Oryzias latipes: one gene and its partner. The protein of the gene in region 1 binds, or shares a complex with, the protein of each later gene. Links are inferred from orthologs where the notes say so. Each region holds a gene or a part of one and is shown on either strand. Other genes may lie near its edges.

The links.
Region 2: dpm1 (region 1) and dpm3 share a complex: the UniProt entries of both Homo sapiens proteins name them as parts of the dolichol-phosphate mannose (DPM) synthase complex. The link is inferred for Oryzias latipes from reciprocal best matches to the Homo sapiens genes DPM1 and DPM3.

Annotation. Positions count from the first base shown.
Region 1 is NC_019865.2:4,536,743-4,541,309, forward strand, and holds the start of dpm1 (dolichol-phosphate mannosyltransferase subunit 1), read right to left. Parts: upstream 2,986-4,567; 5' UTR 2,944-2,985; coding exon 2,813-2,943; intron 2,582-2,812; coding exon 2,482-2,581; intron 2,382-2,481; coding exon 2,348-2,381; intron 2,271-2,347; coding exon 2,194-2,270; intron 2,014-2,193; coding exon 1,988-2,013; intron 1,913-1,987; coding exon 1,817-1,912; intron 1,725-1,816; coding exon 1,656-1,724; intron 1,589-1,655; coding exon 1,474-1,588; intron 1-1,473. Other genes in the region: col20a1 (collagen alpha-1(XX) chain), read right to left, coding at 4,469-4,497. UniProt on the Homo sapiens protein: Transfers mannose from GDP-mannose to dolichol monophosphate to form dolichol phosphate mannose (Dol-P-Man) which is the mannosyl donor in pathways leading to N-glycosylation, glycosyl phosphatidylinositol membrane anchoring, and O-mannosylation of proteins; catalytic subunit of the dolichol-phosphate mannose (DPM) synthase complex.
Region 2 is NC_019869.2:1,108,800-1,112,095, reverse strand, and holds dpm3 (dolichol-phosphate mannosyltransferase subunit 3), read left to right. Parts: upstream 1-1,647; 5' UTR 1,648-1,736; intron 1,737-1,838; exon of another isoform or gene 1,839-1,889; 5' UTR 1,890-1,938; coding exon 1,939-2,217; 3' UTR 2,218-2,627; downstream 2,628-3,296. UniProt on the Homo sapiens protein: Stabilizer subunit of the dolichol-phosphate mannose (DPM) synthase complex; tethers catalytic subunit DPM1 to the endoplasmic reticulum.

The DNA of each region.
Region 1 (4,567 bases):
TTTGTTGAGCTTCCATTAAATAAACTAATGAAGTAAAGGATGAAGAGTTCGGATCGTAATAAATCACATAAATCACATATATCACCTATATGTGCCCATATAAAATATACAGTCTAATTATTTTAGAAAAGATTAGCATAAATTGAATTAAAATACTCTTAAAAAACATTTTTTTTCGTTGTTTTTTAATGCATCTTTTGTGTGAAACAACTAGGTGTTTTATGAAATAAACTGATCAAATAAACATATTGTTCAATTTAATTTTGAGATTTATGAAATTAAACGGATTAAGGTTATAAAAATATAAACCCAAGGCATGTTTTTTTATGTTTAATCGTTTTTTTAAGCAGTAACTTTAGTTATTTCCCTGCAGAAACAACCAAACAGATGTGCACTACTCCAGGAAGACATGAGACAGCTTGAATTTTCAAATAAAGAAAGAAAAGAAAAAAAGTGCAATACTTTTTTATTGGACTACAGGATTCTTCATAGGGGCTGCCAGCCGCGGCCAAAACTAATAAAAACAAACCCAATTTTGAGTCTCCAGTCAGCATCAGACAGTAAACATTTGCCTTGGAATCGGAAATCGGCTCTGAGCTCATTCGTTTATCTTCAGACTCACGAGCGCATCTCCGCTTGTTCACGCAGATGCTTTCACTCTGATCCTAAACGCTCTGAGCTGAAGCAGAAGAAGCTCCATGACAACAGGTGACTCATCCGCTAGACTAGAGCCCAACCGCATCTCTCTGAGATCACAGGCAACATGCAGATGCTTGGAATGGTTTTCAAGATTTCATGAAGACTTTCTTAATCATTTGAAATTGAAAGTAAAGAGAAAAAAAAAACAATAAAAAATCTCTAAAGCTGAAACTGTTTGCAGAACATTCTGAAGAACTACTTTCTGTTTTTAAGTCAGAAAATAAATGGTTTGTGATTTAAAAGGAGCAAGCTAGTATTTATTAATATTCAGTAATAGAAATGTTGTGTGCTTAATTTAGATTATTGAACCATGCTAACAGTTTGTATGCAACAACAAACACCGAAAAGACCACAGGAAAAGGCAGTTTTCTGTAGTTTCATGACCTAACAGTCGCATGAAAGTACAGAATAAACAAACAGAATTCTGATCCAAATATTAGAAAGAAAATGGATAAAAAAGAAACTTAAGTTAAAAACCCAATGGATCAAAATCATAAAAAAATTAATCACGACTGCTTAGTATCAATATTTAGGACATGGTATTACCTTTGCACCTCATTGATAGGACCTTTAAATAATAAGTCTCCCCGGCCTTAACATCATTTATTCTATTCTAAAAATACATAATATAATATATTATATTTTATTCTATTAAGCAGCAACAATGTAATTAATTGAAAGATAAATGAAACATATAAATTCCTGATTAAAAACATTTTTCTTTTTTTCAAAACAAACAAAATAAAAAATACAAACGAGAAGCTTTAAGCTCACCTCTCCGATGGTAAAGTTGAGCTGTCTGGCTCTGACGATCATCTCCATCTGAAAGACGTAGCCTTTGGAGACGCACCGCTCCACCAGACTCTCCAGAGCACTTTTCTTGTACAACCTGACGTGAGCGACACGTGTCACACACGTCACGCAGCCACAGATCCACTCACCGGTATTTCATTTACCTGAAACTGCCTGTGAGGTCTGACGCCCCCGGCCTTAACAGCACCTGAGTCAGAAAGTTGGCCCCTCGACTGATTCCAGGAGATGATGAAGTGACGGAACGTAAAGCGTCAGTCTTTCAACAAACCAACAGAAAGATGCGGGGGACTCCAACGGCTCTTACCTGATGAGTTTCCTGCGCAGGTCCCAGCCGTACACCCCCCCGTCACCTCGGTAACGAGTGCCAGACACAACATCATAATTTCCCTCTTTCTGCTTTCTAAGAGAAAAAAAATATTCAAACGTGAGGCTATGTGTCTCATTGTGTAGCTAAAAAACAACCAGAGACACTTACTGAATAAATTCAGGAATGAACTTGGGCTGAAATGAAAAAAAGAAAAAAGGCAGAAACAATAAGACCATCCCTCCGAAATCAGATTTCAGATAAACAAACAACAACAAACTAAGTGAAACAGAAAAACCACCATGATTAACTGAATGGTGTAAAGAGACGACAAAAAGCCTTAAGTTCCCAACCCAAATAAAGTGATCTCGGCTTACATGATGAGAGAGATCGGCATCCATGATGATGATGAAGTTCCCGGTTGCATGCTTCATCCCATGGATGTAGGCAGTACCTGTTGAAGGAAAAGAAAAGCTATTCACAAAGAAGTCCAGAAATAAACATGTCCACTTTTAAGGGAATAACACTTACCGAGTCCTAATTTCTTTTCTCTTGGGCGTAGAAGCTAAAACACACAACATTGGACATTTAAATAAAGAGGAAACAGCATCAACGTTCTTATTTTCTTCTATTAATCGTTAGCATAAAAGAAAACCTTAACTTACTATTTTGTCTCCTCCATAAATTTTCTGCAATTGCTCTGCCACCTCCAGTGTCCCATCTGGGCTTCCGTCGTCGATGACAATTATCTCATAGTTAAAGCCACTGCAAAAGAAAAAACAAACAAAAGAACCGTTTAACGAGATCGCTAGCGGAGTGGAAAACTTTCTCTATATTTAATGAAGCACTTTTGGCCGCAACCACTGAGAGCTTAGAGGCTGCGGACACTTGTTGACTCTCCAGAGAAGTGACAGCTCATCATAGCCAGGAGTTAACTAACTGCGGCTAACGCTAACCAAACCGAGCAGCTATATTCTGGCTGTTCCAGTGACCTACCTTTCCCCCAAATATTTCACCAAAAGCCAAACTATTAAAGGCAGGTTTTCCCTCTCGTTGTAGGTAGGAAGAAGAATTGAGTATTTGTCCTCGGTGTCCCGCTTCGGTTGTGTAGTTTTACGGCTTGCCATGGCGACGCGACACACTGGTAACCGCAACAGCAAAAGACAGAAACTTTACTTCCGGAATTGACCTTTCAAAATAAGGTTTTAAACCGTATGGTGTATTTTCAATTTTTTTTAAATTGACTTATTCCTTCTGACAAAGGTTTTGTGAGAAAATTATTTGAAATATTGTGAATTTGGACAACCCCCAAATAACACATTTTTAATCAGTATTTTTTATTAAAGATGTTTTGACCAAGCCACCCAATGGATTTAAACTTACGACAGACACCAAATACATAAATAGTTTGTTTCCTTTCATAGTCTGACAACTCTTGTGCCTTTTCACTTGCCAACTGACTAAAGTTTTAAAAGGGTTTTGGACAATAAATTATCAAACAATAAAGCACCAATATGAGAGACTTGTGCCAATTTATAAAGCTTTCAGTAAAAAGACAAATAAAAGTCTTAGCATATTTCTATCTGGAAATATAAATTATTTAAACGTATTTCTATGAGCAGATATAAATTATTTGTTCGCATTTTTTACGTCTATATCTATTGATTAAGTTAACCTTTTTTGTTACTTTCGTAGTGTGGGATGTATATTTTTATTTAAAAAATGATCTCGAGTAACCTGCAAAAAACCTTAGAAATATTTTGGAACTTTTAAAAATACTTTTGGAGTAGCAGTTACGTATGCAGCCACGCGATACAGTACACTTTTGAACTCAGTGTAAACCTTTACTTTGAAAATCTGTTTCAGAAAACGGAAGTCAAATATTAACTTTCGTGTGGGTTGTCCTCTTCAAAATAAACCCCACTGGAAACTACGGTTTACCAAATTAAGTTCCTCTTCTGTTTTGTGAACGCAAATCTTTTCCTAGAAGTTAAAAAAGAAAATAAAACTGTATTAAGTTTTATTATAACTATTCTAATAATAACACTAAATTGATAAGACGAAAATTGGGAAACTTTATTAAAGAAAACAACATAAAATTCCATCTTCCTCCCTTCCTAAAAACGTTTACATAACAATACATTCTAAACTCGTGTTTACAATGCTAATGGCCCATGACCTACAAAAATATGAAAATACCATAAACTAAGATAAATTAGCAGTTAGAATTTCTACTGTAAAAAATATACACAAATAAAGATGCAGCAAATAAAATATACAAACTATCTTACATTAGATAACCTCACAGTATCATGTCATAGAATAATAAACGTGTTTGAGGCAGTTCAGGATAAACCAAAACACACAGAGAAGAAAAGCACAACAGTTAGATGTGATACAATGCACTAAAACAATGAAAAAGAAACAAAAGGCTTCAGTGCTTCAGACAGTGTTCTTGACTGGTTTCCTTTAGGAAGATTTTTGTCTTTTCATTTTATAAATATCAATCATATTTCAGCAGTTTTGTTTGCAGAAATTGTAGTAGTGATTCCTTTCATGTCTCCACATGCTGTTCTGAATGCCCACATCAGTCATTCTCTTTGGGGGCGTCTTTTCAAGGTGGAGCTCCTTCATCCCCTCTGTACTCTCAGATCATGGCTGGTAGCCATAATAAGAGTCATCTGTAGAAAATCAAACAATCAATAGTTAATTACATAGACAAATATGATTAGGTTTTATTCAGAGACAAAT
Region 2 (3,296 bases), on another chromosome or scaffold:
CTTCCAACAAGCTCACTCCTGATTGGAGAGAGTGGTTACCATAGAAACGATGACTTAGACTGACATGAACCAATCGCTGCTTGCTGACGACGTCTGGCTCCAACATGGCGGTGTCCATATAACGAAAAAATGGCAACAGAATTGACTTAATTTAGTTTTGGGTTTGAATGGAGGAACCTGTTGGTGATCCATCCATCCATCCATAAATTTTTTTTTTTTTTTTTTTTTTTTTCATCCATCCATAAATACATCCACCCATAATCAGTTCTTGTATAAGAAATTCTGGTGACTGATCAGATCTTCAAGCTGTATTTATTGTATCTATTTGTGTTTTTTGGTGGCAGTTTGAAAAATGTCAAAGAAGAAGCAGATGAGTGAAAAAAACATGTAAATACTATGTATTAAAACACAACTGATAATTTCAGCAGATGTTGTTTTAAAGGCTTCATCACAAATAGGAGCACCCCCCCCGCCGTGTCACCGTCTCCTTTGACAGAAGCAAAAGGCTCCAGCGCCGCTTCCACCATAATTCCCAGTATCAGCAGCAGTGCACTCAAACCTAAACACCCCTGTCCTAAGAATAGCTCCCCATTTGTCCAGAAGAATGATGTTTATTTCTCTTTGTGTTTTGTTTGCATGAAGGATCTTTCCATCTCCTCCCTTTTCTCATGCCGGTCCAGAGAGATGCAAAGCGTCTGCACCTGCTGAGTTAGCAGCCTAACTGAACCCGCGCTGCACAACGCTGATGGAGTTATGGGAATTAAACACACATGAACCTGGCCTGGCCTCTGCTTAAACTGTTGGTGCATTCTTTGCTTAGGAAAAAACAACATTAGCATTCATGGTAGCTTTTAGTGGTGCTAATGATGTGTAATTTTCCAAATGGCTTTAATTTAGGACGATGAGGATGAAAAAGAGTTCAGGACTAATGTGGGGTGAAAGCTTGACAGGAAGCATCATTAAAGACTCGGTGGAAACAAATGATATTCTTGCTCACAGCTAAGTGAGAACTGCTGCTGTGAACAGACGCAACGCGTGAAAAACAACAGAGATGTTAATAGGTAAATGAACACATTTGAGGGTTTAACCAGAGAGCCCAACAAGAATTTCTTTATTTCGGGGAGCAGCCATTAAAATTACATAAAAATGTTAAACATTAAGAATAAAGAAAAAATAGAAAGGAAAATATAAAATAATTTTAAAAAGTTACATTTTTAAATAAAAAAATAGAAATGTATGATATTGTTACCGTTTTTTAAATTGAAAAACTTATCAAAAACGTTACTAAATGTGTCCCCATGAGTTCTCTGGGAGCCAAAAATATGATGGATGTTTGTTTACGAAAAGACAAATAACGGATAAGAATTGAAATCAACTAATGTTATATTTGTTAAAAAACGAAAAAAGGGCTTACATAAACATTGAACTGTAGAAAAGAAATCATTTATTATACTGCTAGGACAAACAGTAAATATAAAACAGATTTAAATAATATGTTGTAAGACTCTTTATATTTTCACATAAATACATATAATGTTAATAAATATTCCTATAATTTTTTTCGTATAAAGTGGGTTTTTTGTAAAAAAAAAAACATGTAAAAGTTCGTTTTTTCCCTTGACGAATAGTAAACGCTGTGCTGAGAGCTGAGAAAAACGATTTGAACTGCGTTTCCCACAATGCTTCAGGGATCTTACGTCATTAATCCGCGCAGAGCTGAGCTGGCGTTAAGGAAGGTAAACACGGCGGTTTCCTCTGCTTAAAACGCGATTTTAACGCCTTAAATTGCCTCTTCTAATCTTGTTTTCGTGTTTTTTTCGCGGCTGTGTTCATGCTAGGCTGTTTGGTGGCCTTTAAACACGATAAAGTCGCGGGTTTCCCTCCCGCAGGTGGTCGGAAGGCGCCGCGGCGGGACTCCTCACTCTGTCACTCACTACCATGACCAAACTGATGCAGTGGCTGTTCGGGGCGTCGCTGCTGGGGGGCCTGTGGGCCCTGGTCAGCTTCGACCTGCTGGACTTGAACCTCCCGCACACGTACCGGGAGGTGGCCTGGCCCATGCCCCTCTACCTGCTGGTGTCGTTCGGCTGCTTCTCTCTGGCCACCGTGGGATACCGGGTCGCCACCTTCAACGACTGTGACGCAGCAGCGAAGGAGCTGCAGGAGCAGATCAGGGAGGCGAGGGAGGACCTGAGGAGGAGGGGGCTGAAGATGTAGGACCTGATCAAGACCGCAGTGCTCCCGGTTCCGGTGCCGGGTGGAGGGTCCGGGCGGCCATGATGAAGGCTGTTTAGTCACGTGATTGAACTCCATGCCAGATTAACATCTGGATTATTTTTTACAACTGGAAGGGTTTCTGTCGATTGAACATTGATGGTGATGTTCCTTAGTTATTTTTTTTTCTTTTTAGCTCTTCATAAAACAGCCAAAATGCTGTTCTCTTTCTTTTCTAATCCTTAACCAGAAATGCCTCCAAAGGTCAGGCTGTGGATAATCCATCACACATCAGCGTCTTCTTCACTCTGCATTAACAGATCACTGTGTCTCAGTGCATTTGTTGCAGCAGAAGACCTGATGTCAGGAGGTTTTTCTTGAAAATTAAAGGAGGATCTATTTTGTAAATGTCATCTGTTGTTTGTGTGATGAACAGGCGTTCCTGATACTAGTGGACATCCCTACAGTGTAGAAGCCTGGTGTGAAATGTCGTAGCGGTGTAAATCTGGTGAATCTCTTTCTCTCTCAGCTCCATTCCGATATACGAAAGCCTTGGCGTCGCAGAACTCCAGTCAGGCACAAACTGCAATTATTCATTTGACCTCCGTGATCAATTGTCAAACAGTTGGTCTAAGAAAAACTATATATAACTGCGTTTCCCACAATGCTTCAGGGCTCCCACGTCATTAATCCACACAGTGCTATCAAACGGTTGGTTTTGGAAAGGACGCCATCCAAACCCGAGTCCCTGATGGATCAAAGTTCAACTGGTTTAACTTTGAATCTGTGCTCAGTAGACGTACATTTAGCCTGAAGACTGACTAAAAAACGTGCGTAGTTACGCGTGAAATCAAAAGTTTGAACGCTGAAGCCAGAAATGTGCATTTGTGCGCGTTTACATCGACTTTTCATTGGAAACTGTGTAGTTCTGGTGCGAACGCATCACGACAGTCAGGATGTGCTCAAGGAGCGCAGACTCATGTGAACATTAACGAGCTCGTTAACGAGGTTGAAAAACGTGCAAAAATCTGCGTGACACGCCTGCGTCTCAAATACGCCCCCCTAACTCACCCTTATGCGTT